Linked DNA regions of Notamacropus eugenii. The protein of the gene in region 3 interacts with the protein of the main gene of each other region in a pairwise test. Links are inferred from orthologs where the notes say so. Each region holds a gene or a part of one and is shown on either strand. Other genes may lie near its edges.

Region 1 (6,718 bases), on a different chromosome or scaffold from region 3:
CCACCCTTTTTGTGGTAGCAAAGAACTGGAGACAGAGTAGGTGCCCATCAGTTGGAGAATGGCTGAGTAAATGCTGGTACATGATTATAATTACAGCCTATTACTATGCTGCAAGGACATTGAAAACGGAAGCATGGGGAAATTTATATGAACAAGTGCAGTTGTTGTGTTTGTCCTTCCTTCTGGGAGAGGACCATGACATCAACATGACATGACCTGCAGTTGATTTTGATTTGAGTGAGGGAGGGCTGTGCAAGGTCACCAGCCTCATTTCTCCTCCAGAGTCATCAGGACTGGAGATGGCCCAGGAGGCAATGGGAGACCCTGGCCCTTTCAGGATAAGGTCCTATCACATTCTCACTTTGAGTGAGATACAGCCATTCAATGAATAGACTTCTTTAAGTGGTTGGTCAAGGGATGGCCCCTTTAACTAAAAAAAAGCATCACACGGGGAGGTCAGACCCCCCACAAAACAGCACATGGGGAGGTCAGACCCCCCCACAAAACAGCACACAGGGAGGTCAGACCCCCCACAAAACACCACACAGGGAGGCCAGACCCTCCACAAAACAGCACATGGGGAGGTCAGACCCCCCCCACAAAACACCACACTGGGAGGACATACCCCCCACAAAACACCACACGGGGAGGCCAGACCCCCCACAAAACACCACACGGGGAGGACATACCCCCCACATTCCCCGCCCGGGCCAATTCTGCCCTGTCCTTTTAGCCTCACACTGTAAACAGTGTTCTTTTCTGCATCTATTCAGAGCCATGATTTGGATTTTAGGGTTTTTTCAGCATTTTTGTAGGGTTTTGTTGATGACTGCTCTTTGCAGTAGCACTGCTTTGATTGTCTTGTGAAGTTACCTTGTCAGGAAAGGAAAAGGGGGAAGTTCTAGGTTCTGAATCAGCAGGGAAGGGCTTGCTGAGCCCCTCACAACACGTATTACACCTTTCACTGGGCCCAACAATCAAGGGCCACATTCCTGCCATCTGGGGCTCTAGTAACTTACTCAGGGTATGGGGGGATGTGGTTTGGTCAGCTCCCTGTCAATCTCCCCAGGTTCAACAGAGAAGGGACCTTGTCCAGCTACACCCAGAGTTCTAGATGGCACCAGTCAAAAGTATGCCAGCAACTGGTAGCAGGGTGGGAGGGGGCGATGAAAGTGTCAGGCTGGGCTAAGCAAGGGAGCAGAGTGGGTGCTCCGTGTCAGTGATGGAGCCCTGCCCCATCCTCACCTCCCAGTGAGCACGCCCTACCTGGGATTTCTGTAGGCTCAGCATCAGATAACACCTTCCCCTTGGGCATGGGACAGCAAGCTGCTGGCTCACCCATTGCCACAAGTCTCCCCAGGACTCTCTTTTGTTCTGTCATCCTTTGGCCAGTCTCACCCTTTCCAAGGGTATGCTCTGGGGTGCCAACATCACAAATGGCCACAGGATCCCACCAAGAGAATACAGAGATGACCTGTCATTGCTCCTTCTTGCCTCATATGAACCTAACTCCAGCCAGTAACTGGGAAGATAAACAGATATTTGCCTCCTGGGCCCCTACTATGTGTCTGGCCACCTGTGCTTGCAACCTCAAGAAAGGATCAGTCCTGACACTTTGCTCAATCCCTCTAACATAGTCACGGAACACGACCACACATGAAGCAGAGAACAATATAGAGCAGTGTCTAACAAACACAAAAACTATGGTGCAAGCATATGTTGTAGGTTACAGAAAGGTGAAAACTCAGTGTGGGCTGGAGTAGTCAGGGAAGGCTTCCTGGAGGTGGTGGGAGTCAGGATGACCTCATTTAACCACAGGGACATTCCTCCCTCACCATGGAACATAAAAAACCAACCTCCTCTTTCCTCAATCATAGAATCCTAGGTACACTGGAAGGAGACACCCTAATTGACAGAGGATGAGGAAGCTGTAGTCCAGAGAGCGAATTGCTTAAAGACATACTGGTCACAACAGAGATAGAATTTAAACACAGGACCTTTGCTTCCAAGCCACCTAAGCACAGTGAAGAGAGATGAGGCTGGAGGGGGCGCCATAACAGATCAAACTTGTTCATAAACTTCTCTCTAGACAGTACATTTATCACTTTCTTTGGGCAGATGATGTAAAGCAGTTTTTTCCCTTGTTGCAACCGCCAGCTTCTCCCTGCACTGGCTCCTCCTAGGCAGCGGGGCTAGTTCACTCTCTGGGTACTCTCCCAAATAGCCAGGTGTTTTCTTGTGCCTGGAATGTTGTGGTTAACACAGGAATGGTGTTCCTTGCTCCCTGCAGTCATTCCTAGGCTTCACCAGAAGCATCCCTGGGAATCGAAGGTGGACAGCTGGTCTTCCACCCCCATCTAACCCAACACAGGAAACCCGATCAGCCGTCCCTGCAACCTGGCAGATGGCTCCCCTCAGCAGGTGATCAATGAGCCACATCCTGGACCAGGCCCAATACTAGCCTCTGGTGACATGCCCTTCTTTGATACTCACTAGACTACTCTGCCTATACCGAGGCACTCAGGCACAGCAGCTGAAACCTCAGCCCTAGGAGGAAGTCACAAAAAACCTTTCCCCCACATAACTAAGGAGCTAGGACACCAACATATTTGCCCAAGTCCCAAGACACCTACTCCAATGACCTGAAGATAGTCATGGGATGAGTTTACAGTTTGGGTTAGTATCTGATAAGAGCGGTGTTCTTGAAGGAAGTGGCTGCTTCCTGATCCAACATTCCCCCTTGTCCCAATTCCTGTTCACGTAACTAAGAACAGATGTCAAGGCTGATGACTTTATTGGTTTTAAAAAACTCTTTACAATGGCAGTGAACATCCCTCTACCAAAGTTACCCAAATGGCATAAAAGAGATCAAAAGTGGGGGGTTAGGGGGTAGGGAAGCCACTCCAGAGACCCACCCAGGAAAGCTAATAACTATCGCCACTGAAATTTACAGGACCAGGAGGCATGCTGAGGTGTGGACAGGGAGGCTTGAGTCAAAATAGTGGTGGAGAGGGGAAGGTGTCCCAGGTGGGGGCGGCAGCAAAAATCTTTCCTTCTGTTGGGAGGTGGGAAGGGAGAGAGGGGCAGGATTTCCCACTTGGGGGTGCTAACTGTGAAGACCCATCGGAGGGGGTAAGGGGGGCCGGCCCCCAGGCACGGGGCTCACAAGAAGGCGTCACACCATTCTCGAAGGCAGCCAAAGCAATCCCGAGCCTGCTTGGCATTGGCCCCACAGGTGTCTTTCAGCCACTCTCGGAAGAGGTCTTCGTCTTTTTTCAGCACCAGGAACTGGCCCAGAACCACGTAGGCCTGAAAGAGACACAGAGCCAGAAGGCTGTGGGCAGGCCACCTGGGAACGAGCTGGGGCCGAGTCACCGCCCACCCCTCCCCTTCTAAGGGGCTGATAGCGCCCCCGGGCCCAGCTGTGCTCGCGGGATCCGCCCCCATCTCCCAGGAATGAATGCGCAGGCCGGCACACACAGCCCGGGGCTCCCGGGGGTCACCCGCCCTTCCTTTCCTCCTCCGGGGCCCCACAGCCACGCCAGGGGTCGGCGCCGATCCCCACCCTGCCTCAGTCTTCCCTCTGGTCCCGCGAGGGCCCCGGACCTTATCGAAGCCCTTGTCCTCGAGCTTCTTGCCCAGCACTTCTCCGATGCCCGCCAGGCTCCCCACGGGCTTCTCCCCCATGGGCTCGGCCACGAAGTCCCGGTGCTTTTGGGAGGTCGTCATGGCTCCTCACCACAGACCTGGGGCGGACCACAGGGAAAGCACACGCTCGCCTCCGCCCCAAGCCAGGGGAGCTCCAGGCACCGCGCCCGCGCAAGCCCCGCCCCCTCCGCACGTGGCCGCCAGCCCCAACCCATGGCCCCGCCCCCTCGCGGGCCCCGCCCCCTCAGCCCCCGCGTCTGCCTCCCCGCGTTCCCCGGCGGGAGGGGGGAAGGGTCATCACAGCCGCCCGGGTCTCCCCCGACTCGCCCCAACCCTGCCCACGACCCTGGCGCTCGTAAGCCGCGCGCACGCCCACCGGCTCCGGCTCCGGCTTCTGTAACGGTCACACTACCACTTAACCGGCCTCTCCCGCCGCTGCCTCAATACCGCAAGGCGCGTGCCGGCTTCCGCTTCCAGGTTGTCAGAGTCGTTTCCGGGTCAAGGGCAATTTGAAGGGAGGCGGGAAGGGGGGGCGGGGCCTAAGGCAATGAGGCGGAACCGGGGAAAGGGGAGGGGAAGGGAGGGGAGGGGAAGGGAGGGAGGCGAGGACCAGGCGCATGCGCGTCTGCGGCGGAAGCGTGCCTCAGGATGGTTCCCAGGGAGACGGCGCCGCTCTGTTCTCTCTTCTCTATGGCCAGATCTGGGGCCGCACTCCTCCCGGCGCGGGGCGTGGAGTGGAGGGTGCTCACTACACGCGTGGCGCTTGCGGAGGCTCCCCACTCAGCCCAAGACGGGGCCGGCAGCGGCAGAGGCGGAACTAAAGTGCCGGGGTCTGCGGTGCCTAGCAAGGGGAAGATTTAGCCGGGAACACCGAGCCCTCTTTTCCCCCTCCCCCTCCCGAAGCGAGCACCGGAAGCGTGGTCTCCGGAAGTTCTCGGCTCGGGCTGGCGGTCTCGGCGGAGGCTGCGGCAGTGGCCAGCGGGAAGGTATGGTGGCAGAGGGCCCTGTGGAGGCGGCGGGGCCCAGCCCCGCCGGCTGTTTCCCGATCTTAGGTAGCAAGGGTTTCCGGCGGAGGCTGGAGACGGCTCGTCACCCCTCCCCCCATCAGTGTCTGGGGCCGGCCCGCGGGACCCAGACCCCCGTCACCTCCCCCTCGACCATCCCAGAGGCGTCGGGTTAAGCCCGGGCTGCACCCGGTCTCCGAGACCCTCAAGAAACCCCTAGCCAGCTAGTGGGATCCCGCCCCGGCGGGTCACTGACTCCTGTGGGGGTCCTGACCTCCACAGACTCGGAACCAGCATGTCTCAGACCACCAAGCGGAAGCACGTGGTGCAGGAGGTGCTAGGGGAGCACATGGTGCCGTCAGACCAGCAGCAGATCGTGAGGGTGAGCCCCGGCCCCCCGCCCCCCTCCCGGGATCTCCCGGCCGCTGCACCCCCTCCCCCAACACGCTCTCCTCCGCCCCGGGCAGGTCTTGGGGACCCCTGGCAACAACCTGCACGAGGTGGAGACGGCGCAGGGGCAGCGCTTCCTGGTCAGCATGCCCTCCAAGTACCGCAAGAACATCTGGATCAAGAGAGGTAAGGGGGCGGGGGCAGAGGCCCGGCCCTGCCCGGCTGCCAGGCCTCACCCGCGGCCTCTCCTGCAGGAGACTTTCTCATCGTGGACCCCATCGAGGAGGGCGAGAAGGTGAAGGCCGAGATCTCCTTCGTCCTCTGCAAGGACCACGTCCGCTCCCTACAGAAGGAGGGGCTCTGGTAGGGCCCGGGGTCCTGGGGGGAGGGCTCACCTGGCCCGGCTCCTCTCCGCCCCCTAAATCCTTTCCCTTATTTAGGCCTGAAGCCTTCTCAGAGGTGGCAGAGAAACAAAACAGCAGAAGCAGGTGAGTGTCTCGGCTGTCCCCTCTCCTCCCTCCAGCACAGGCTGCTAGCAGGCCAGCACCCTCTTTGGGGTGGACTTGTCTGTCCAGCTGCTTGCGAATGCTAACTAGGGAGGCAGCCCCAAGGCTGTCCATGCCCAGCTGCTTACTTGGGGCTAGCTTGCCCCAGTCTCACGTGTAAATGGGACTGATGTTTCTCAGGTTGGGGGGGATCCTGAGCTGTTCCAACTTCTGCTTCCTCGGCTTGGAATCTGGAAGTGCTTCTGTCCTGGGTATGGCTTCCAGGAGCCTCTCTCACTCATCCTCCTCCCTGCAGACCGCCTCAGCCAGAACTTCCAGGAGAAGCCCAGTCTTCAGAAGACGACAGCTCTGCAGATGACTCGGACCTTTTTGTCAACACCAATCGGGTGCAGTACCAGGAGAGCGAGGAGGAGAGTGAGGAAGAGGCCTGAGATTGCAGCTTCCTTTCCAGCCGGAAGCCTAGTCCTATACCTTGACCCCACCTCCATGGACAGAAATGGGCTTGCTCTGTGCATCCACCCCCTGGCTGGGGATGAGGCAGGGCTCCCATCTGGACTCCTACTCTTCTCTGTAAGAGATTAAACCCCTGGTGGGTTGAGAGCTGTGGTTGACTTGTACCAGTGTGCCTAGTAAAGCAATTCCGACTTTGACTTCTCACTCCGGTGCAAAGGAGGGACCAAAAACTTGGGTGGGGGGCTGGCTACAGTGCTAACCAGCCACTGGGGGCATTTCAGAATGGGCTCCAGGACAGGCAATACCTAGTTCCACCACCCAACTCTCTGTCCAGCTCTGACTCAAGGGAGGAAAATGGAATCATAACTTAAACAAGGGAGGAAAAAATAAGGAGGGAACTTTATTTAATATTAAAGGACTGAGGATACGAGACATCTTCACTTTGTGATGGTGTTTCTGTGGAAAGAAGAGACAAGAGATGAGGGAGGGAAACAGACACAAGTGCCTCTCCCTCCCCTGTCCCAAGGCCCATCCCCTGCTCACGCATTCATGCTCTTGCCGCTGCCACTAAGTACGATGTACGGGGTCTTCTGGGCTTTCTGTTTTTCCTGGAGCAAGGCCACTGTGCCCAGGGGTGTGTCACTGGAGCTCATCTTTTTCAAGAGCTGTAACAAGGGGACCCCTTATGCTCAGTGGCCACTTTTACAAACTCTTGAA
Region 2 (7,929 bases), on a different chromosome or scaffold from region 3:
TGTTCACCCTGGGGCTTCATTTCCTCCCCTTCCAAAAGGCTTAGGCTCACCAGGGGCCAGCACCCTCAGCCCAGCCCAGGAGATCCCGCCTACTCCCCTGCTCAGGCTTGTGCAGTCCAGCTCCCCACTTGCTCTCAACCTCCAAAGCCCGCACCTGGAGGGGCTCCCCGGACCCTGCCATTCTCTCCCAGCTCCAGCTGCCTTCCCGCCAAGAGCGCCCGCCAAGAGAAGGCAGCCCGCCAGGGCGGGGACAGAGAAGGCCGGTGCTCGGGCGGAGGAGGCCCGGCCCGGCCGGTGGGCGGGACCGGGAGGCGGAACCGGGAGGCGGAAGCTAAACCAGGCGCTGCCTGGAGAGAACCGGTGGTAGTGGTCACATCGCCTTCAGTCCCTTCGTCATGCCATGTGGGATCACTTGGCTAAGTTACCCGAGTGCTGGGCCATTTCCTTCTCCAAGACCAAGAAGGTTAAGTGACTCGCCCAGGTTCTCAGGGCTAACGGGGCTGAGCTCAGATCCGACCTCAGACAGAGCAATCTTCCGGATCCCGGTCCTGGGCTCTACACACCTGCCACTGGACAGAGCCAATGCGGAGGGGGCTAGGGCGCCCTCCGCCACGGCAAACCCTGCCTGGGCAGTGAGAGGGTGTGCGGGTCTGGTCCCGCAAAGCGACATTAAGAGCTCGGCTTGTGCACTTCGTCCCTTTGTGTCTTAGGCAATCTTACAGGACCTTGGTTTACGTCTCATCCAAATGGAAGCGCCCTCCCCTTTGTCACTGGGTTGTCACGCTTTGAAAACCTTAAAACAGCATATAAAGATGAGCCTGTCAGTGCAGAACTGCAGATTCTCAGAGTTGAAAGGGACCTCAGTGTCCTCCTGGTCCAAATGGCACCTGAGAAATGATTCCTTCTTCAACACAACCGACAAATGGCCAGTTGGCCTCTGCCTGAAAGTCTGCCCTTGGAGGAAACTCAATGGTCCAAGGCAGCCGTTACACTTTGGGGTAGCTCTAACTAAACACCAAGCTAAATTGGCCTCTGCAACATCTGCTCATCACTCCTATTTCTGCCCTCCAAAGTGAAGAATAAGACTGTTTTCTTTTAGAAATGATTGAGAATTATGAACATGGCTGTAACAACCCACTCAAAAAAGTCACAAGAACTCAAAGTGTGGCTGTCCTTTTACCTCTCCAGGTGAAACATCCTTCAACAGGCCTTCATATAACGTGATAATAATGTAATATCATTGGAACCTCAAGGGCCAGAGCCTCAACTAATCAACCAGAAGAAGCAACAGATCTAAGTAAACGCTGAGAACGCCTCCGTGTCAACAAGAGCTGACCTGAGCATTCTTCTATTAATGCCTACCAAGGACAGCGGGCCTTAAGCAGACACTACCTAGAATAAAGGGACTTTCTCTTATCTTAATATTTTATGAACATATACTGTGTTATATCATGTTAATGGTAAAGAAAACAGATATCCTGGGTTGTAATTTCAATCGACACTTTGTCAACTCTCTTATCTTATTGTATTTACAACCTATTCAATTAAGAAAATTCCTTTTCTCATACTATGGTTAAACATATATGGAGATCATAAATTCGAGAGACATAGACATGCTGAGTTGAGATTGCTCTAAAACCTGTTTAAGGCTGGTCATTCTTTTATCAGTCAGAAATCATGTTTTGGCTCTGTGTATGCATGTATCTGCTAGCTAAGGAAATAAACAATATGAATTTCTATATCACCTAGCCTGTTTGGGTCTTTTAACCAAACTTTCAAGTGGACACATGAAATCGAGGCCCTTCACCATGTTGTTCTACCTCTACTGGATCAGCTTATCAATGTCCTCCCTGAAATTATGTACAGTTTTGTGCAGTATAATGTGTTTTGATGCCCCAAAACCACAGGTAATAGTCCAGGTTTGGTCTGAGTAAGGCACAGTAAAAAAGTAATTGGCTTTTAAAAAATGTTTATAGTAAACAATTGTATTTTGGTAACAGCTCAGGTTTAGATATATTGAGTTTCAAGTGTCAATGGAAAATTAGGTAGAGGTATTCTGTAGACAGAAGGAGATACAGATCTGGACATAGAAGAGGAGTCAGATGAGTTATCTCAGTAAGTGGAAGCTGAAGTGGTGGGATTAATCAAATTGCCAAGGGAAATAGTATAGAAATGAGAGAGGGCCAAAAATATAAAAATAGGCAATACCACAAAGAGGAGAAAGAGACAGTGAAAGAAGTGGAAAAACCAAGAAAGTGGTATCCAAAAGGTGGTAGTCAACAGTGTTAATATCTAATGAGAAGAAAAAAGCTTTGATAAACCTGTTAAGCAAACAGAAAATGTGATCTAAGTATTCTTATAAATTATTTTAAAAATTGCAAGGAAAAGAAATATTTGTTCCAATAATGGAAAAAAAAAACTTTTTTTAAAAAACAAAAAAAGGGGAAGAAATTAGTAGACAAAGTTCAGTGGGTTTGAATATGCAAGAATAAAAACTTTGCACAAGAAACTAAAAAATATCTAGTCTAAAATAAAAAGAGTGAGGAAAACAGATTTGTAATGTATCTGATAAAGATTTATCTTCCAGAACATATAAAGAACTGATAGACAGCTATAAAATTAATTTACACTCCCCAATGAGGAATGGCCACAGGTCATGTAAGAGACAGCAAAAGTTAAGTTTCCACAGAAGTTATTATTAGTTGATGAAGTCAGTGAGAATTCAGATAATAAGCCTAGCTGACTGTAGGTGGACTCAACCAATCAAGAGACAGACAGTGGCCTTCAGAAAATTACAAAGTTTCAAATCTACAGTTAGCTGGAACTAGTCAGGGAAAAATGACCTAGAGTTACCAGGAGAAGGCTTTTCTTCACTGAGTTTGCTTAATGAACCTCAAGTATATAAACAGACACTCTCGGCATAATATTATCCCTCCATTTTCTGATCATGGGTCCTATGTTAAAGAATGTGTGGGAGGGGGGATCTCACCAGGGGTGCTTATGTAATGGGCATTTAGAGAAGATCATGACCTAATGGACAATGGACCAATCCGTCTCTTGATGGGATGATCTGTCCTGAGCTAACAGTATAAAGCCAATCTCACTTATGTATCTGACACTCACTCCTCCCCAAAAGAGGAAGGAGGCCCGCTTTGGCCAACGTGTTCAATTCCTCTGAACTCTGCTGCAATAAATTTCCCTTGATACTTTATTAGTGTCAACAGGTCATAAACAATTTTTGAAAAAAAATACAGGTTAAGAACTACATGAAAAGATGTTCAAAATCCCTAATGATAAAAAATGGACAAATCAAAAAACCTGGAAATGTTTTTTGTGCAGTGTGCTCTTGGGCAATTCACTTCCCCTCTAAGCCTCATGTTCCTCATTTATAAAATGAGGGAGTTCTCTTCCAGCTACAGTCATATTCCTTATAACCATTATATTGCCTGAAATGGTAAAAAAAATGATAAAACTTCAGTAGGACACTGTAGAATTCAGTAACTCTGACAAAGCAGAAAACATACATTATTTAGCCAAAAATTGCTGGGAAAACTAGAAGGCAGACTAGCAAAAATTCGTCTCAGATCTATTCCACATTACATTCCCTAAACGTCATATCTACCTTCTGATTAGTCCTGATTTTGAAGTACAGCTGAGAACGATTTCTGAAACGGGAAAAATATCCTTCTCTCCCAGTCCTCTAATCTAAACAACAGGCCAACAACAGGTGGTTTTATTTACTGGTTTGTCTGGGTCTAAAAGCGTATGTTTTATGCATGATTAAAAAACCTTCTAGAATCACAAGGTCAGCTATTGTGTATCAACAAAGCAATCAAACTCTGTGTTCAGCAGCCTTTACATTTAAAGATAGAAGATCTGGTTATAATCCAAGGCTAAAACAATTACCAGTTTTTAAACTGCCCCTACTGCCGCCCCACGGCACTCTACTGCTCACCTCCAGCTCGAGGGTACCTGGAATACCCTTTCTCATCAGCTAAGCTGAGTCCTTTATTCCAAAAGAACACAATCCATTCACAAATCTGCATTATTTACTTCTCTTAGATGCCAGAAAGCTAGATTTTCCTTCACTTCTTTGCACCCCCTTCCGGCGCTCCCCAACAACAGATGCGCAGTAACTACGGGCTTATGGACCGCAGTGCAAACGGACGGAAGGAACACAATAGGCTCCAGCTGGACCGAGAAGACGGCATTTGGGGCCCAGAGGCCTCCCCTGCCTCCCTCCAACCTATTTCTCAACACCCGGGGACCCCCTGGTGGGAATGTAGAGATTTGTGGTGAAAGGGTGGGAAGAGGCCCTGACTTTCATGGTAAAGGGGTGGGATAAAATCAGATAAAATATTAAGTGAAAGTAAAAAGCTACAACAGTCAATCAAGGAACTTGAAAAGCTGCAAACATTCAAACCAGTTAAATCCAGGAGCTCCCGGGCCACCCTCGCTCGCACCCTCCACGGAGGCTCTCACCCCCTACTAAAGGCTGCTCCTGAGCCTCAGCCCACCTTCGGGGTCCCTTCCGCCCTGGATCCTCTGATCTGGAGTGCCGGTGGCAGGGCCGAGGCTCACAACCCAGCCGTCCCTCACGCTCGCGGCCGTGGGCCAAGCCGAGGACGCAACGCCCTTCCACTGCGCAAGGGCCTACCCCACCTCTCGAACCAACGAGAAACCACCTCCCACTCCTCACACGCGTGTTCCTTTCTGACACCCCTAGTCCCACCTGAGATTTCCACTCCCTTCCTCCGAACCCAAGGGGAAAAAGGGCGAGGACACTTGGGAAAAAGCGAATTTCCCGCCCGCAGGCGCAGGCACCGCCCCGATCTGCAGGTCACGTGACTCGACGCCTGCGCACTGACAGCCCGCGCGACTCTCCTCCCCGGGCCGTCCCCCTAAGTCATCCACGATCCCACAATTCACCAATCAAGCGCTCTGTGGTGCACTTCCGGTTCCTCAGGGCTCCCGGACTCGCTGCTACATCCGGAAGAGAAGGGAGGTCGTTGTACGTTGTCTGTGTTGACTGTTCTTCGTCTCAGGTTCTGGAAAGGCAGCCGCCGCCGCTATTGCCATCATGTCGGTCCCGAGCGCCCTCATGAAACAGCCCCCCATTCATTCCACGGCTGGGGCCGTCCCCGTTCGCAATGAGAAAGGTAAGGGGCCCAAAACCTTCCCGCCGGGTTTTCTGACAGCCAGCGACCCCCCTTTTTCCCCGTGCTTCGGTGCCCTGCGACCCCCGACTCCTACCCCCCCAAGCACGCTACACCAGAGCCGGCCCCCCCAATTTCTGGCTTTCCTTCGGAGCTTCCTCCAGCCTGTCCCTCATCGTTACCACTTTGACCTGCCCTTCATCAGTCTTCTCCTGAGCCCCATTTATGGGTCATGAAGCCAACTTTACTCCCAGACCTCCTTCTAACCCCAGCCCTCTGAGTCCGCGGTCCTCACCGCAGGGACTTGCACACACCCCGTCCTCCTCCTCCCCTCGTTCTGCAGGCGGACGTTGATTGTCTGGGTCCGATCATGAGTGTATACACTTATAAAGTAGAGGAACCTTGCCCTCAGAAAGCTTACAGTGTTACTGTAAGGGGGGAGGGAGGCGGAGAAAGAGTGACAGGATGAGTTGCGTGCATAAATGCATACGTAAATATTTATAATACAAAATAAGTGTCCTAAGAACGGCGCTGTGGCTAATTAGAGAAGGCAGCAAGGGGGAGGATGAATTGAGTAATAAAGGATGGACACGTTGTGGTGTGGTCTGTAAATGAATAAACATTTATTAAGCCCCAGCTGTGTGACACACGCTGTACTAATGGGTGGGATTACAAAAAGACCAAAGCCAGCGTCTGCCTTCAACGAGGTTACAATGTAACGGGGAGACAACGCAAATAAAGAAATTGAACAAGCTATGATACCAGATAAATAGGAAATTGTTAACAGAGGAAAGGCACTGAAATTGAGAGGGGTTGGGAAAGGCTTCCTGTAGAAGGTGGAATTTAGTTGGAACTTAAGCTAGGGAAGTCGGTAGTCAGAGGGGAGGAGGGAGAACATTCCAGGCGTGGGGGACGATCAGAGAAAATGCCCAGAGCTGAGAGATGAAGTGTGTTGTTGGTGGAACTAGGAGACCAGTGTCACTAAATCAAGGAGTACTCTTTGGGGAGGAAAGTATAAAAAGACTGGAAAGAAGGAGGTAGGAGGGGGCTCGATTATGATGGGCTTTGAATGACAGAGCATTTTACATTTGATTCTGGAGGCAATAAGAAGCCACTGGAGTTTGAATATGGGGATGGGTGGCATGATTGGACTTACCAGTGGCTGAATGGAGGTCATACCTATAATAGGGAAAAATCTGAGACGGGCAGACCCACCAGCAGACTATTACAGTAATCCAGGTGTGACGTGATGCGGGCAGCAGAGTGGTGGCAGTGTCAGAGAAAAGAAGGGGACCATATTCAAGAGAAGTTGCAAAGGTGAAATTGACACAGGTCTTAGCACCAGCTTGGGTGTGGGAGTTGAGAGATAGTGAGGAGTCCAGGATGACTCCTGGATTGCTAGGTTGAAGACCAGGGAGGATGAGGTTGCTCTGTACATTTGTGGCCCGAGTGCGGAGGGGATTAAGAGTTTAGGGGGAAAGATAGAGTTCCATTTTGGACATAATTTGAGTTTAAGATGTCTACTGGACATCCATTTGGAGATGTCTGAAAGACAATTAGAGATCCAAGATTAAAGGTCAGCAGAGAAATTGGGGTAGGTAGGTAGTTTTGAGAGTCATCAGCACAGAAGTGGTAATTAAATCTATGGGAGCTGATGAGATCAACAACTGAAATGTAGAAAAGGGTCAACAAAGGAGACAGAGAAGGAGCAGTCAGATATGAGGAGGACCAGGAGAGAGTAGTACCCCCAAAACCTCGAAGAGAACATCAAGGAGGGGAAAGTGATCAACAGTGTCAGAGGCTGAAGAGAGGTCAAGGAGAATGAGGATAAAGAAAAGGCCATTGCATTTGGCAGCTAAGAACATTTGTAACTTTGGAGAGAACAAGGCAATCATGGAGCCATTAAAGGTTGGAGGACATTGAATCAATTTTGGAAAATTCATCTTAGATCAGTGTGCAAATGAATTGGAAGGGTCAAAAGCAAAAAAACAAGGAGGCCAGCTAAACAATTACAGCAGTCTAGTTAAGTGCTTACGTTGGGACTGAGCCAAGATGGTGGAGGAGAAGGACAGACCTGCTCTAGCTCTATCCCCATATCCCACAGATAAGGGATTAAACTAGGATAGAAGTTGTAGAAATGGAAATGAAGGGATGAATTCAAAAGATATTGAGGAAGGAAGAATCAAGACTAGATGTAAGGAGAGGGAAGAGTTAAAGACTACTTTAAGGTTTTAAACCAAAATGATAATAAAAATAGGAAGTCAGGTAGGGGTGCAGCTGAGGTAACGAAAAATGATTAGTTTTAGACATTGATTTTGTGGGGCTGGCAGAATGTCTAGCAGCAAGTTAGAAATGCAGAACTTTTGCTTTCACCTAATACTTCCACTTCCTCACCACCTTTTCTATCACAGCTGTGCTTTCAAAGGCCCCCGCCCATCCTAATCACCAAATCAAATGTCAGTTTTTGGTCCTCATTCTCCAAGAGCACTCTGCAACATTCAGTACTTGTTAACCAGTCCCCTCCGGTATAATAGCTCTTTCTTCCACTTACCATCAAAAATGTCACATTTCTGTTGTGATGAAATAAACTACCTCTCTGTTTCCTTTACTAATTCTTCATCTCCCTGACCATCTATTATAAACCCTCTTCTGTTCTTTCTTCAGTCTTTCATCTAATAATCTCATTCACTATTACCTCTACATAGATAATAGCCCTGAGTTCTAAACACATCTTTTTGTCTACAGAATCTCTACTTTTGTAGTAGACATCTCA
Region 3 (7,483 bases):
CTACATAAACATGAGTTAAACATAAACAGGTGTTATTTATTATTATTACATCATACTTATTCTCTATGATATTTATCTTGGTGGATATACATACGATATTTTCTCCTTCCCCCTTATTTTTCAGTTTAAAGTTCTTTTGATTAAAATCATTAGTTCTTGCCAAAACCAAAAGTACTGACATTATTTTTAAAAAGTATAGGGTTTTACACAAAGTAGTTTTTCAATAATTATTTGTTGATTTGACATGGATATTGACCTGGTCCAGAGTCTGTGGTCCACCTGTTTATAATAATGGTCCACAAATAATGCTTTTGAATAAGGTATTCCCTTCCTAAGCGATGTTCCAGTCCTGGGTCTCATGTCAGTCAAAAGATTCAAGGGAAATTCAACTGAATTGTCCAAACCATTCCATTATATTTGGCTTTTATTTTTAACTACACATATACTATTCTCTATGGTAAGTGGAATTCATCTTCCCACTTGAACTGGAAGTGTTAATTTGTTAATAGCTTCCCTAGGGTTTTGCATCTTGGTATGACAACTTCAATGATTTCATCCTAGTTTAAGTGTAATAAAACCTCATTTTATATTCGCAGGTATTAAAGTTCCTAAATGTCCTTTAGTCTGTCTGTTTCTCAGCTTTGTTTTGGTCAGAGGTTTTTAAAACCTTTAAAAGGACAAAGTTGAACACTAAGACTTGCGACTTTCAATTTAGGATGGGTCAGAGAGGAAATAGGGAGAGCAGAGGAAAGAAAGCAAAGGAAAGATGAGAATAGATTTAGTAATGTACGGATTTAGATGAAGGGTTGAAGACCTGATATGACACTCACAAACAAGACCTCCAGGAATGGTGAATTCACTACACTCAAAGGTAGTTCAATGCAATTTTTGGATAACTATAATTGTTAGGACTTTTGTCCTAGTGAACCTAAATTTTTCTCTTTGAAATTTCTATCACTCAACTGCCCTCTTGAGCAAAACATAAATTGAGAGCACCTCTTCTACACCACAGCCCTTTGAACACCTGAAGATTATGCCAAATCTTAATGACAATTCTTTTCCCACCTCTGTCAGTCTGTCTCTGTGCCTCCAGAGGCACCTTCCTCTATACCTCTCCTCTTAGAATCTTTTGTTGTTTAGTTGTTTCAGTCCTGTCCAACTCTTTGGATTTTCTTGGCAAAGTTACTGGAGTAGTTTGCCATTCCCTTCTCCAACTCATTTTACAGATGATGAAACTGACGTAAACAAGGTTAAGTGACTTGCCCAGGGTCACACAGCAGGTAAGTTTCTGAGGCTAGATTTGAACTCATGAAGATGAGTCTTCCACATTTCAAGCTCAGTGCTCTATTGCCACCTACCTGCTCTTCTTAGAATCCAGCTCCCCTCAAGGTTTTGCTCAAGTATAACCTCCTAGAAGAGGTCATTCCTAATTCAACCAGGTAGTGCTCCTCCCCAAATAACTTATTTTATATATATTTTGTATTCATTTATCTGTGTACATATTGCTTTCCCCTAGTAATGTAGAAACTTTGAATGCAGGTACAATATTTTATTTTTATATTTTCAGCACCCACCGCAGTACCTGCTACGTCGTAGGTGCCTAATAAATACTTTCTAAATTGAAACAGGAAGGATGGGGAGGATATAATAATCTCCCCTCATTCTAGACTAGAGGTTTTCAACCTTTTTTATATCATAGTCCTGTTGGCAGTCTGGTGAAGCCTAGGGACCCTTTTTCAGAATGTTTCTGAAAGCATAAAATACAAAGAAACCAATTATATTGAAATACAGTTACAAAATAAGACAAGTTCAGAGACTTCAAGTTGAGAACCTCTGTTTTATACACTAATCTTTTCTTAATGCAATTTCAGATTCCATGAGCTTTTTTTGGGGGTGCTGTAAATTCATATTGAACTGAAAGTCCACTAAACGCCCAGCTCATTTTTATATGCATTATCTAGTCATATCTCTCCCTTCCTGTACTTGTAAAGGCAATTTTTATTCCAAGTATAGAACTTCAGATTTATCTCAACTATGAGAGGTTCTCTCATTTAAACACCTCACCAAAATATGAGTATATGATACCTACAGAATTCTTCTTCTGTATAAATTTAATAGTCCTGTCAAAAATGAACTAAGGAGGGGCAGCTAAGTGGTGAAGTGGATAGAGCACCAGTGCTGGAGTCATGAAGAACTGAGTTCAAATATGACCTCAGACTTGATACTTAGTAGCTGTGTGACCTTGGGCAAGTCACTTAACCCAGATTACCTCATAAAACCAAAAAAAAAAAAAAAAGAATTAAGATTAGTTTGGTGGGAATTGTTATTTATTAACCCAGAGTGGCTGATATTGATCACTGCTGTACTTCCTAAGTATTCACAAAACATGGCAGAATCTTGCTAAGGTAGCAAGCATGTCCTGGCAACAGGTTGCCTGCTTGCCAAAAATCAGCCTACTTAAGTGCAGAGACAGTGATTACCAGTAGATGTACCACCAGCTACGGGACTAGCAATTCTTCTGCTGTGGAATTCTTCTGCTATGGTAATCCACTAAAGCAGGGAAGGAAGGAACTGAATGAAACATGGGCAACTGTCAATCATTGTACAGCAGATATCAAACACATCAACATTCCCGAGTATCTAGAGGAGAACTAGATGAAAACATAATTGGGTAGTAGTAAACAAAATAAAAATACAACAGAACATAACATCAAACGGGGTTTCCTAAATAAATATGCAACCAGTAGGGATCTCTTTTTAAATATGCTTCTGTATGAGTTTGACACCTCTTCCCCGCTACAGTATTGTCTCCTTGGGTGGGGTCCATGGTGAAATATGGTGCTACTATTCATCACCATGCCCTCCCATCCTCACTAGCCTTTAAGGCGACTAGGGATTTGTTATACCTGCTGTCCCAAAAGACCGAGAGCCGGCCTTTTGGGACACCCTGTTCTGTAACCCAACTATTCCTCCACCTAAATGCCTCTTACAAAATCATCATAGATCTAGAAGGCACCTTTGACAGAAGAGAAAATTGTGTCCAAGGAGGTTGTGACTTTTCCCCACCAACCACCCTCTCCCCTTTCCTGTCTCCTTTCGTGTGGTCTTTTTTTCTTTAGGTTGTAAACTCACTGAAGGCAAGGATTGTCTTTTTTATTGTGTCTGCATGCCTGGCACATAGTAGGTACTTAATAAATGTTTATTGTATTTATTGGATTGGGATTAAGTGACAGAAATGAAATTTGACTCCAGTTTCAATGATTTTAACCACTAATACCATTGTGGCTCTCTCTCTAGTGCTGCACATCCCAAGAGGTATACAATTATTTTTTCCCTCTCTCCCAGGGGATGTTATGAAGAAGAAACAAACAGTGTCCTTGATGTGCTCTGTGCTCCTTAGAGATGCCCATAATAAGTCTAATGAAATGCTTATTGTTTATTCCCTTTATTTTGATATCATTACGCCAGTCTTTTGCATCTGCCTTAGGGATTTGGTTCTTCACCAGCAACGGAGACAGCTAATGCAGAACCTGAGGGATGACAAGTTTTCTCAGGACGACCCTCAATCCACATGTGTTCTCCAAATTCTGGGGCCACCCAGACCAAGAGGTCTGTAGTCAGTATTCGGGGCTCAGTGTCAATGCTCTCTACCCTTTTCAAGACCGTTGGTTCATTTCATATGTAGTCATTTGTGGACAGGGGAGATAACCTCTAACAGCTGCTTAAAATAAGGGCTCTCTGGTTCAGGAATGTGAGAGTAGGAGGCGGTTTGGGGGTGGCGGGGCATACCAGCCTTCCCAGGACTGAAGCAGACAAGAGGGGAGGACCCCCCCAAGACTTGGAGTCTCTAAGGAAAAGGAAAGAACCAGCAGGATCCTGGCCGTGAGGGGGAGGCTCCCCATGGAGCTTCCAGGCCGGCGGCGAGGGAGGGGGGGAGGTTGTATGAGCTGAGCAGCGCTCTCCAAAGCCGGGGGGAGGAAGACTCCCCCTGCCCCGAGCGAGCCCCGGGCCTTGGGCGGGCGGCGGCAACGCGCGCGGGGCAGGGAGGTGACGGGGAGGGCGCGAGCGCGGGCTTAGAGCGCGAGCGCGCGGCGGCCGCGGCTCGCGGGAAGCTGCTCGGTCCGTCCGTCGGTCCGTGGGTCCGTCTGCCCGTGCGGCCTCCGCCTCCTCGGGATGGCGTGGGGCCGGGGGCCGAGCCCGAGGAGCGGCCGGCGGGCTCGGCTGGCTCCCTCAGCTCGGCCCCCAGGGGGATGGCGGAGGCGGGGAGGGGGGTGGCCCGGGGCGCCGGTGCGAGGGCCGGCTCCCCCCAGCAGGTGGCACCGGGGTCCCAGGCAGCGCGGGCGCTCCCTCCTCCGCTCCTTCCCCTCCTTCCCTCCGCCCGCCCCGGCGGGGGGGGGTGGGGGGGTGGCGAGCGCCTCTGACCCGGCTCCCCCGGCTCCGCCGCCGCCACCTCCTCCCGGCCCGACCCGACCTGCTGCCGCCTCCCTGGCCGCGCATCGCCGCCCTCGCGCCGCCGCCGCCGCCTCGCGGGGAAGGAGCAGGAAAAAGCGCCCGGCGCCTGCCCGCCCCTTTCCCAGCCCTCTGCTCCCGGGCCGGCCCCGAGCCAGCCCCGGGCCAAGTCCGGCCCCAGCCGAAAGTTGTGGCGGAGGGCGGCGGGCCCGGGCTCGGCAGCTTCCTCGCCTTGTCTCCGGGCCGGGGGCCCGGGGTGCGGGGCTGGGGGGCGAGAGCAAAGTGGCAACTTCTCCGAGGGAAGCCTCCAGCCCCGCCCACGCCCGGGTCCGAAATCGCCCGGGGGGCCGGATCGATTTTGTTCCTTTACATTATTCTTACTGTTGTCGAGACACGGACCTGGGTCCTCCCGGCGGCTGCTGCTGCTGCGGCCGGGTGACCAGAGCCTCCGCCGCCGCCTCCTCCACCTCCTCCTCCTCCTCCTCTCCCTCCCCCCTGTTCCTCCCTCTCTCTGTCTCTCCTTCTCTCTCTCTCCGCTGCCACATTCCCTTCCTCCTTCCTTCTCCCCAGCACCATGGAGTTCTCCGAGAGGAAAAGAAGCAGGAAATCCCAAAGCTTCAAACTGGTGAACCAAGGTAAGAAGAGAGGGACGTGGGGGCGGGGGGGCGGGCAGAGGGGGGGGGGAGAGAGAGGGAGATAGAGAAGGAGAGAGAGAGAGAGAGAGAGAGAGAGAGAGAGAGAGAGAGAGAGAGAGAGAGAGAGAGAGAGAGAGAGAGAGGTGGGGACCGGCTAGGGGGCTTCTCTCGGGTGGGTGCCAGAGACTCGGAGAAGGGACTTGACCAGGGTGTAAACATCCCCCCAGCCACCAGCGCTCTCCTATCCCCTCTCGCCCTCTCCCTTGTCATTTCCCTCATCCTCTGTTATTTGTCAATGCAATTATGTATTTTCAAGTCAGCAACTGTATCTTTAAAAAGGGTTATTGTTATTATTTTTAAAAGAACCCGCTCGACAGCGGGGGCGTTTTGGTGTGTGTGGGGGCAACGTTGATGCTTGGCGATGAGACCACTGTACACAAAATAAAGTTGTATGGTTAAGGGGGGGAGTCAGGATGTTATTGAACGTAAACAGCCCAAAAAGCGAATCAGGAAATTAGCAAACAATGACACTTAGGGAGCAAAAAACCTTCTTGTGCTTTCAACTACTGTGGCCAGGTTTGGGAAGTGGGGTGTTTGCTTTTCAATTTTAGAGGTGTACAGAAGTCTGGACGAATGATTCTTGTCCCTAAGACCAAATTCTTCCCCCCTCCCCCCCACCTCCCTTGTCGGTCCCTCCCCCCCACATGAAAGGTTTTGGTGTGATTTTTCCTTCTTTCATTTCGGAGGAAAAACAATGCCATTGCACAAGGAAAAATTGTTGCTATCTAACTTGTTGGGTTGTGTGATTGGTTTAGGAAAACGTGTTTAAAAAGAATTATGCATCTAGTGAAAATCAATTTTTAAAAATCCCATCAAATTTCTCAATAATTTAACAGGTGTATATCTCAACTGCTTGGGTTTAGGCTATTCAGAGGGGAGAGGGTAGTAGTTGTCCAGTTGAGGATGAGTTACTTGTTAGGATCTTATTTTTTTCTAATTTGGCTTAGAAAAGACTGAGAAGAATTAAAGCCCAAGGCAAAAGAAGTAAGATATATCTGTTAACCAACTTGTGACTTGTTAGATTCGAAGCAGGTGATTAGTACATTGTAATGTCACATTTCTCTTTTGAGGGTTCAGAACACCTATTTTCCTTAAGTCTCTTTTTTGAAACAACCTTAAATTTGAACAAACACAAAAACTTAGAACCGGTCTGTTTTTCCTCCGATGTTTTATGGACTATTGGGGGTGGGAGCAAACCAACTGTTTTAAAAATTCTAAAAAGTCATCATATAGACTAATGAAAAGTAGAGGGCTATTTGCAAATAACAGGGTTTTTTTCCTAATTAAACCCCAGCTAAACTAAATGTTAGTGTGGAGCAAATAAAGCCTACTTTTAGTTTGTTTGAAAATTCATTTGATTATATGTTTTCTTCTCAATTAAACTGATTTAAATAGTTAAGCAAGTGGATAGAATTTGGTGAAAGGGGTTTTCAGTCACTATACCTATTCAGAATATTAGCTTTTTGATTCTTTGTAACTTTGCTTCACTGAGTTGATTGCTCAGTTACTTGAACTTTTAAAAGTTTTTTCATATATAACCTGCCATTTTGGGGGGCTTTATTCATTCAAGAATATATGTTACTTCTGTTTTTTCTAACTTTAGATAACTTATTACCATATCTTGAAAATGAGAGTAGTTGTGTAGGTGTTGGTCTGTAATGTCCAAGGGCACCCATAAGTCATGAATGTAAAAAGAAATCTACCTTTAAGGCAGATAGTTAGGTGATCCCAATTTGTAGGAACTTTATCAAAACCGCATGAGCCTCTACAGAGAGGCTAGTGAAATTCTGTATTTTTAAGTTGGACTGACATAGGAAGTTTATAACAAATTCTGAGTCTGACTCTTTGCTATGCAGGTGCATTTTCAGAAAATGAGCCACTGCATATTAAAGTGCAGTAGCTGTATGCAAAAGATACCCTTATGTGAAAGATGAGACCCTGGCTTCCATATTCAAATTTCACTCTACTTAAAACAACAAATGAGTATTTTTCATATGAGCTTCCTTTTAGACTTTCAATTCCCAGTATTTTTCAGTATTAATTGTTAAAATCAAGGGTGTTGTCACTAACTATTGGGAATGCTCTTAATATGTCCTATACAAATTTAGTTGTATAGTTCAATGTAAAAGACTTCTATGACCTGGGATGCAGCACATTTTCCCTATTGGTTATGAATTTACTTGCTGAGGTTTAGAAAAAACATTTGAACTTTCATGCTGACATACTTGTCAGTGAAACCTGACATATATCAGGCAAAGTTATTCTCAAAAATCTGTGAATATTTATTTTGTACAGTTTCAAAAATACTGATAAAATTCTTGGGTGCTGCTATAGTGTTT
Region 4 (7,436 bases), on a different chromosome or scaffold from region 3:
AGGTCCTTTTTGGAAGGAGGGCACTCAGGAGAGATCAAGAAAACTTCAAGTACAAGATGGTACTTGAGCTGAGTGTTGAAAGAAAAAATCATTTGTGTATATTCTATCTCCACACCAGACTGAGAACTAGGCCTGTTATTTAATCTTGGCCTGTAAAAAGCAATTAATGTTGAATTCATTAAACAAGCTACTGTGCAAAAGATAGTATGTTGGGCACAGAGGGGAAGACAAAGACATGGTCTTAGGCCTCAAAGAGCCTAACTGTAGAAATAACTAAAATAACTGTACCATAACATGTGATCATACAGTTCTACTGACCAGGGTCCACCTTCTCCCTGAACATATTAAAAGGGTAGAGCAAGATTTTCTTGGAGGTAGGTTATTCCCTCTTCCAATGCAACTTCACTGGCTGAACTATGTGCTTGCCCCTTCCCTGCCCCATAACTGAATTGGCTTGAGGTACAGTGATAGCTAGTTATGTTCTTTATGCAGTAAATTTAACTGATGCCTTAAAAGAATAAACTGGAAATCTCCCACTAACACAAAAAAGCAACTTGAAAACATTTTATTTCCCCAACAATTATTTGTACTTGTGATTGCTATTAATATCAAAGGAAACATGCTATACAATAGCATCTAAGATTTCAGTTGTCTAAGATAAAGGCAAGGCCATTTGTGGGGAAAGGGACAACACAGTAGAGGAAATAGGTAAAAATCTGAAGATAGATTTTAATGGTATTTAATATCACCCCTTCTTACCTATGATGCGAAAGGCTTTAATGCCTTCACAGGAGCTCAGTGGTAGAACAAAAAAAACCTAACATTCATGCTGCACTTTTACTGCAGTACTGGCATGGTGATGATTAATGTGGCTTTCCCTCTGACAAATTTTGCTGTAGTTGTCTCAGTGTCAACCAATTCTGGAAGATCTACCTGTAATCGGTACTTCTCAGAGACCTCAATCACTAAGTCATCCTAAGAGAGAATCATATCAATTGAATAGATTTGTTTTTGCAATCTAGAAATAGAATCTATTCCTGATATGACATTGTTATCTCTTTCTCATCTTACCTTAGAAACACTAAGGTCACAGTCACAGACAGAACTAAGACCAGGAAGTTCAACTTTCATCTCAATTCTCAGTGATCTCCCATTCTGATCCTTCACAGATGTCAGCTTATAATTTGGAGTCTTCAGCTCAACTTGGAGCTCACTACTGGAAATTTCCTCAATCAGACACCCTTGTTTGCTTGGAATATGGTCCTTTGGCAGTAAAAGTTGTGGAATGTCATCTTGGTTATTCATAGTACAGTTTCTTAACTGCTCAAGCGTTAGTTCTTGATGTAAAAAAGGGATATATTTCAGGTTACAGTAATTAAAGTGCAAGAAAGTACTATAAAACACTACTGCATAGAGACTACATATTAATATTTTCTGTTGTATTTTTGTTCAACATTTCCCAATTACATTTTAATCTGTAGCTTGTGTGCCTCAAATTAGACATCTCTGGGTTATAGTAATCTGATCTTTTTCATTTGTTCTTGCTTCAGAAATAAGATTTAAGTTTAATTTTCATTTGTATTGATAAGGGAATTTACATAATAATAGTTTTCACTAAAAATTTCCTTACCTTTCTTCATTTTCTCACTTAAATCTGTTGAGTCAGTTTGGATTCCCATCAAATTCTTTTTCATCTTTTGGAAGCTTCCTTTCTTCCAGGTTTTTGTAATGTGATAGGAATGAGAAAGAGTAAACTGATGTTGCTCCTCAATGCATTTCATTGTCAAGTGAATCAGGTGATCCATTTCCATTTCATTATCTTTTGCTTCCTTGAGAACAGCAGGGTTATAGGCAACATTGATAACTGTGTATGATTCTAGGTAGTTTAAACAGTGTGGAATTAACCGTTATTTCTGTAATGGCACCATCAGGTAACAATGTTAACCCAATAGCCTGAATTAAGCTAAGGCACCCTCAAAACAGAATTTCCATTATAGTACTACTGCACAAAAAATTCCCACTAGAACTTCTTGTTAGAATAGTAACTGCCCCACTATTTAAGAAAATTAACAGCTTATGTATATTCAGTTAACATTGGAGATAATTCTCCAGTATGCTTATTAGAAATTAAAAAATTTGTATTAGAAATACAAAAAAAAGTACACTTTTGTTGCTAAAATCTATTAGGTGTTAGCTACTTGCTAAGAAAATAGCTTTGATACTTTATATACCTGATGTCTCAGATACATCTTCTGGCTTGCCAACGCTCAAAGGTACAGGTTCTGCCTTTGACTGGGGTGCTGGGATACTCATCCATTGACATAGGTTGATGAATAATACTTTTTCTTCTGGTTTCTAGGAAATAAAACATTTTCTTACTCTTATTATTATTGTGTTCACCACTGAGGAGGCACCTGGCAACTAGCATTTTTCAACTACCTCCTAGGTATTGGTAATGCTTGGGGCTGATTCTGTGTAGCTGATTTGCATTATGTGCTCCTATTATTAATGAGAATGGAGAGAGGACAAATTGAGTTGGCTTAGAAGCCCTTAGAAAATTTGAGTGTGATCAACTGAGGAAGGAAACCTCACTTTTCCCTTTAGATTGGAAGTACTACAAATATGGAGTGAAGGATCTCTAAATTAAGTCAGAATATTTTCACTCTTTTCCCTAAATTGGGTAAGAAAAAAGTTCTAGAAGGGGTACTCAATTTTTTGAAGAGAATCCTTTTTCTTTGAATTTCTGTAATGTGGGTACAGAAGCAGATGAGAACTTCAAAGTGTAGCCAAGAAAAGTTCATGGTCAGAGGAGAGCTGAGTTATGAGTGCAAAGCAGAAGACAGCAGCATAGAAAGAACTCCAGTGCATAACACCACAGGCACAGTGCAAGAGAATCCTAGCTTTTGTGCAAGTTGGCAAGGCAGAAAAGAGATTGGACTTGAATTCATTAAGAGAGGGTTCAAACCCTGTCTCTGACTCTTCTGAGCTGCATGTGGGAAAGTTAGGGTTAGCCTAGCCCCACTGAGCTTCAATTTCCTTGTCTGTAAAATGGGAATGTCAGGTTGGCTTTGAGGCCTTGGACCAATGGAGATGTTCAGACTGGATATTGTACTTATACATATTTCAGGTAGGAGATAAGATGATTTCTAAGGTCCCTTCCAAGTCTAGTATTCTGTAATTCTTTGGTTCTGTGTCTTGTTCCAAGTGAGAATAAAGTATCTGGTTTCTTCTCCATGTGCAAGAACCAAGCCTACTTATGGTGGTTCTTATTTTATTTTTCAGATAGTTAATGGAGCCTGACTTGGATAAAAAGACCCACATGGAGAAAATCCCATGGATGCACCTGCTTTTTTTCCATTCAATTAGCTGGGAAACTCCTGACCATACCATCTCTGGTACCACCACTCAGTTTCTTATTCTGGAGCTACAGTTCCCTTGGAATACTGCTCTGCGGTAGAAACAAAGATGTGGGCCAGAACCATTCCGTCTGAAATGTACGAACCAAGATCTTGGTCTGCAAGGAGAGCTGGGGCTCAGGGGCAGCGCAGCGTTTCTCCCCTTCCTTCAGCTGCCCTTGAATGAATTTCTCATAACGTTCAGGGTCACTCTCCGCCAGGTCATCTAGCAGGTTCCACAGCTGAGTCACTTGGGTAAGCCAGCCTCTTGGTGAGGACTCCATGACCTGGAAGCGAGAGGGTCTCCCAGGCTGTGAAAAGACATACACCCCGCTGAGGAAAGGTCACCCCCTAGGGCTACTGCGCATCACAAAGCTGTGGGCCTTTGGACACTTCCCCGACGCGGAGATGCGCGAAATCTCCTAGGGCACTTATCAAAATGAATATTAAATAGTGCGCATGGCCATCCCCCTCGCTGCTCCCCACAGCGCCCATCTTGTCCGCTCCTAGGGCCATCTGGGACTGCCGTCTGCGACCACTTCCTTCTCTTGGTGGGGAAGGGGGAGGGCTCCGCCCCGCCCCCGCCCGGGCTCTGCCTCCGGCCCCTCCATGCGGGGGTGTCCTCACCCGGAGGCCCCCCCCACCGAGCCCAAGGCCGGGGGGCGTTCACTCCCCAGCATCTCCACGCCCGCCCCCCGGGAGTCAGAGCGGTCTCCGGCTCCTGCCTCAGTTTCCCTACACCCGCCCCCAGTCTCCTCATTTCTCCGTACGCTTTCTCCTCAAGATTCCCTGGGAGGGGGGAAGGGAAGGGGGCGTGAAGCTCCTGACCCACCGCCTCGGCCACCTGCCGGGGAAACAAGCAGCGTGCTCCGACCGAGCGACTCGCCAGTCCGAACGCCGGCGCCCCCGCGGCCGCGGTTTCCAGGGCAACCTACCGCGGTGCGACGCCTAACTGGGCTCGGAACCTCCCAGCGTCCCCGCACCCTTCGCGCGCAGTTCCGCGGCCAACTTTGGCCCACACCAGGTTGAGAGCCTGTCCGGTCAGCCCCGGTCTGGCTTCTCCGGGGTGGCCGCCGTCACGCCGATTCCCCTAGAGCGATACTTTGTCTCCCTTGGCCCAGGGAGAGTCCCGAGAACTCTCGTGGGAGGGGCGGGCGGGAGGGGTACCGTGCTTCGGAAGGGGAAGTATTTCTCTGGACACTCGGGAAGCACTTCCTACTTCCGTCGAGGACTGGAAGGTGGCCCAAGGCTCTTCGCTCCCCTGTCTGCCCCGGGACGCCGGAGCTCACGGTAGGGGGGCGGGGGTGGGCGCGGGGCTGCAGGGCCCGGATCCCGGCCACTGAGCCGCGGTGTCCCAGCCGCTTTTCGACGGAGGGACTCAAAGCGTCCTACGAACCTCGGCGGAGTTTGGGAGGGCAGGAAAGGGCCGGAGCTCCGGTGGGGGGGGACCCCGGGTGGGCGGCGACCCTCTCCCCCCACCCCCAAGGCCTCCAGGGAGGGGCGCCCGGTCTGGTCTGGAGAGTCGGGTCGGGATCCAGGCAGCTGCGGTGGAGAGCCGGCCCCTGGGCGCCTGCGGGCCGTCTGGCCCTGACCCCATTGTGCAGACGCGCAGACTGAGGCCCGGGGGGCGAGGCGTTAAGGTCTGACGTGCGGTGGGATGGGGTCGTGAGTGGCTGGTTGGGACTCGAACCGGGCCCCGGATTCCGGAGGCTGAGCTGGCCTGGCTGCCCCTCGCACCTCGGGCACCGTGTTTCACGTGTTTTTGGAAAGTTGTGGGGCGGTGATTCTGTGTCACACTCTAATAGCTGAGTGATTTCTTGGGGGGTTTTCGGGCTGTGGTGGCGGCCTCGTGTCCTCGACGCCGTACTGTCCTTGCAAACTCTGAACTCGTCCTTTAGTGTCTTGGGCTCCGTGTGCACAATAGGCCCAGAAAATTCTGCTGGAGGGAAGGCTGGACTCCCGCTGATATGCGTAAGAGTTACTACTGACCACCTACCTACCCCCCACTCTCGCCGATCAGAGTATGTGCTGCCCAGCAAGCCCAGAGGGCAGGTCAGGAGGGGTGGTCTTGTCTTTGTCACTGATTTATTTACCTTGGACAAATAATTAAAACTTTGGAATCCAGGTTCTTGAATTGTCAGGGTTAAGGATACCTGTTCCTTATTTCATGGACTCACAATTTGTCAGAGCTGAAACCACTTTAAAGATTAAGTCAGTTTCTTCATCTGTAAAATGAGAGGGTTGGATTAGACAATATATTCAATATATTCCTTTCAATTCTAAATCCTGTGACCCTAACTTGAATTTGATCCAACCCCCTCATCTTGTAGATAAGGAAACTGAGGCCCAGAAAGGGAAAATTACTTACCCATCTCAATGAGTTGTGAGACTCAGGTGAAAGGGATGTGATATATTTGAAAAATATACAAATGTAATGTATGTAGGAGATGTTATTCTTATGATGGTGTTTCTACACATTTCAGATTAAAAATGTCCCGGATCCCTCTGGGGAAAGTCCTTCTGAGAAATGTCATTCGGCACACAGATGCTCACAATAAGGTAAGAGGACAGCAGTGCATTCCCTGGCAGGGCTTCCTTTAGGACTCCTCAATTCATAGTATGTTGTTTTATAATGTAGAAGGCTGTTAAAAGAGGGATATAAGCAACAGCAGAGGAATATGACTGTGTGACTAGCCGGAGAGTAGGAGTGACTCTGGCATCATGCCAGCCCTGATCCTCTTGGGGGCTGAATTTGTGCCTTCCTGTAAAGAAACTACTTTAACAGTGACACTCAGGCATTTATTTTAGTACCTCCTCCTCCCTTCTCTATCAGCAAAGCTTTCATTATCATGAGCCCACCATTGGTGAAGGCAGAAGTAGGCTGCCTCTGACACCAGGGCTCTCTCTTTCTCCAGCACTTACTATTATTCCCTTCTCCACCACCAGATGTGGAGAACACTATCTCCTCAGCCCTCTCTAACAAGTGCCTGCACTCCAGGTCTCTGCCATTATGATCATATCCAGAACCAGAACCTTCAACACCAAGCCAGACCAGGAGTCATGTGCATGCTTTATATGCAGGGTATCTTCTGGGTGTGCATCATTGCCCAACATGTTGGGATGAAGCAAAGAAACTGGTGCTGATTGTGATTACAGTCAGTCCCCTTCAAATCTCATCACCAGGTATTTGCCTCCTCAGCCTCCTTACAGGCTTAGCCTTTTCTTCCATGATTTTTGAGAGAATAAGATCTAGAGTTCTCTTCCATAATCAGAGGACCATAGTGGAACAAAGCCCTAGTCATTTGTGTTCCCCCAACCTATCGCTAGCAAAACTCCCTTAACTTCTGCTAAATTGAGAAGCCCTTTGTCTTCTACCACTTATTTCACTCTCATCACTTTCGGGCTCAGCCCAGCCTCTCCCCAATTCCTGTTCTTCTCTGCCCTTCTCTTCCGTACAATCATTAGCCAACTTCCCTTCATTCCAGACTTCTCCTTTCACTCCCTTCCCATCTTCTTGCACTCAGAGAAACTGAGCTTCTTCTGGAAGACAGCATCCCTAGTAACCTTCTCCAGGACTGATGCTCTTTCTCCTGTGCCCCTCACTATACCAGGCCACGAGGAGGGTAGGCACACTCTTTTTCTTGACCACTTTGTCTTTCTGTCATCATCATTCAGTAGGTTCTTCTTCTTTCTGGGTCACTCCCTCCACAGGATACATTGTGAGGCAGCAGCAGCACAGTACAATGGAAAAAATACTGGATTTTAGTCAGCAGGTCTGAATTCAACTCTGCTATCCCTCCCATCTTACCCTGGGAAATCACTTTACTTCTACCCCTTCATCTCTTCATTTGTAAAATGATGGGGTGAGGCTTGTAGCCTCTGAGATTTTATGATTCTGTGATCTCTAATAGAGACCTAATTAAGTTCTCTTCCAACTTTAAAGCTAGGATCCTGAATTCTAAAGATGTTTCAGATCTTTGTTGCAGTTGTCTGCTGGTCTCCAATTATTCTTTCCCATTTTTTTAAGTTGTCACTCCATCT

Evidence for each region.
Region 1: the proteins of BEND7 (region 3) and EIF1AD interact in binary tests that used the Homo sapiens proteins (3 or more experiments, as listed by UniProt). The two-hybrid records come from large-scale screens. The link is inferred for Notamacropus eugenii from reciprocal best matches to the Homo sapiens genes BEND7 and EIF1AD.
Region 2: the proteins of BEND7 (region 3) and MFAP1 interact in binary tests that used the Homo sapiens proteins (3 or more experiments, as listed by UniProt). The two-hybrid records come from large-scale screens. The link is inferred for Notamacropus eugenii from reciprocal best matches to the Homo sapiens genes BEND7 and MFAP1.
Region 4: the proteins of BEND7 (region 3) and NKAPD1 interact in binary tests that used the Homo sapiens proteins (3 or more experiments, as listed by UniProt). The two-hybrid records come from large-scale screens. The link is inferred for Notamacropus eugenii from reciprocal best matches to the Homo sapiens genes BEND7 and NKAPD1.

Annotation. Positions count from the first base shown.
Region 1 is NC_092873.1:18,668,665-18,675,382, reverse strand, and holds EIF1AD (probable RNA-binding protein EIF1AD), read left to right. Parts: upstream 1-4,498; 5' UTR 4,499-4,634; intron 4,635-4,934; 5' UTR 4,935-4,947; coding exon 4,948-5,034; intron 5,035-5,119; coding exon 5,120-5,228; intron 5,229-5,296; coding exon 5,297-5,405; intron 5,406-5,482; coding exon 5,483-5,530; intron 5,531-5,843; coding exon 5,844-5,979; 3' UTR 5,980-6,198; downstream 6,199-6,718. Other genes in the region: BANF1 (barrier-to-autointegration factor), read right to left, coding at 3,163-3,309, 3,607-3,729; SART1 (U4/U6.U5 tri-snRNP-associated protein 1), read right to left, coding at 6,439-6,457, 6,545-6,666.
Region 2 is NC_092878.1:54,058,406-54,066,334, forward strand, and holds the start of MFAP1 (microfibrillar-associated protein 1), read left to right. Parts: upstream 1-4,908; 5' UTR 4,909-5,080; coding exon 5,081-5,159; intron 5,160-7,929. Other genes in the region: WDR76 (WD repeat-containing protein 76), read right to left, coding at 155-181. UniProt on the Homo sapiens protein: Involved in pre-mRNA splicing as a component of the spliceosome.
Region 3 is NC_092874.1:168,216,384-168,223,866, forward strand, and holds the start of BEND7 (BEN domain-containing protein 7), read left to right. Parts: upstream 1-4,473; 5' UTR 4,474-5,023; coding exon 5,024-5,084; intron 5,085-7,483.
Region 4 is NC_092876.1:142,134,576-142,142,011, reverse strand, and holds the start of NKAPD1 (uncharacterized protein NKAPD1), read left to right. Parts: upstream 1-4,417; 5' UTR 4,418-4,685; intron 4,686-5,878; 5' UTR 5,879-5,885; coding exon 5,886-5,954; intron 5,955-7,436. Other genes in the region: PIH1D2 (PIH1 domain-containing protein 2), read right to left, coding at 838-975, 1,072-1,337, 1,631-1,876, 2,232-2,355, 3,503-3,679.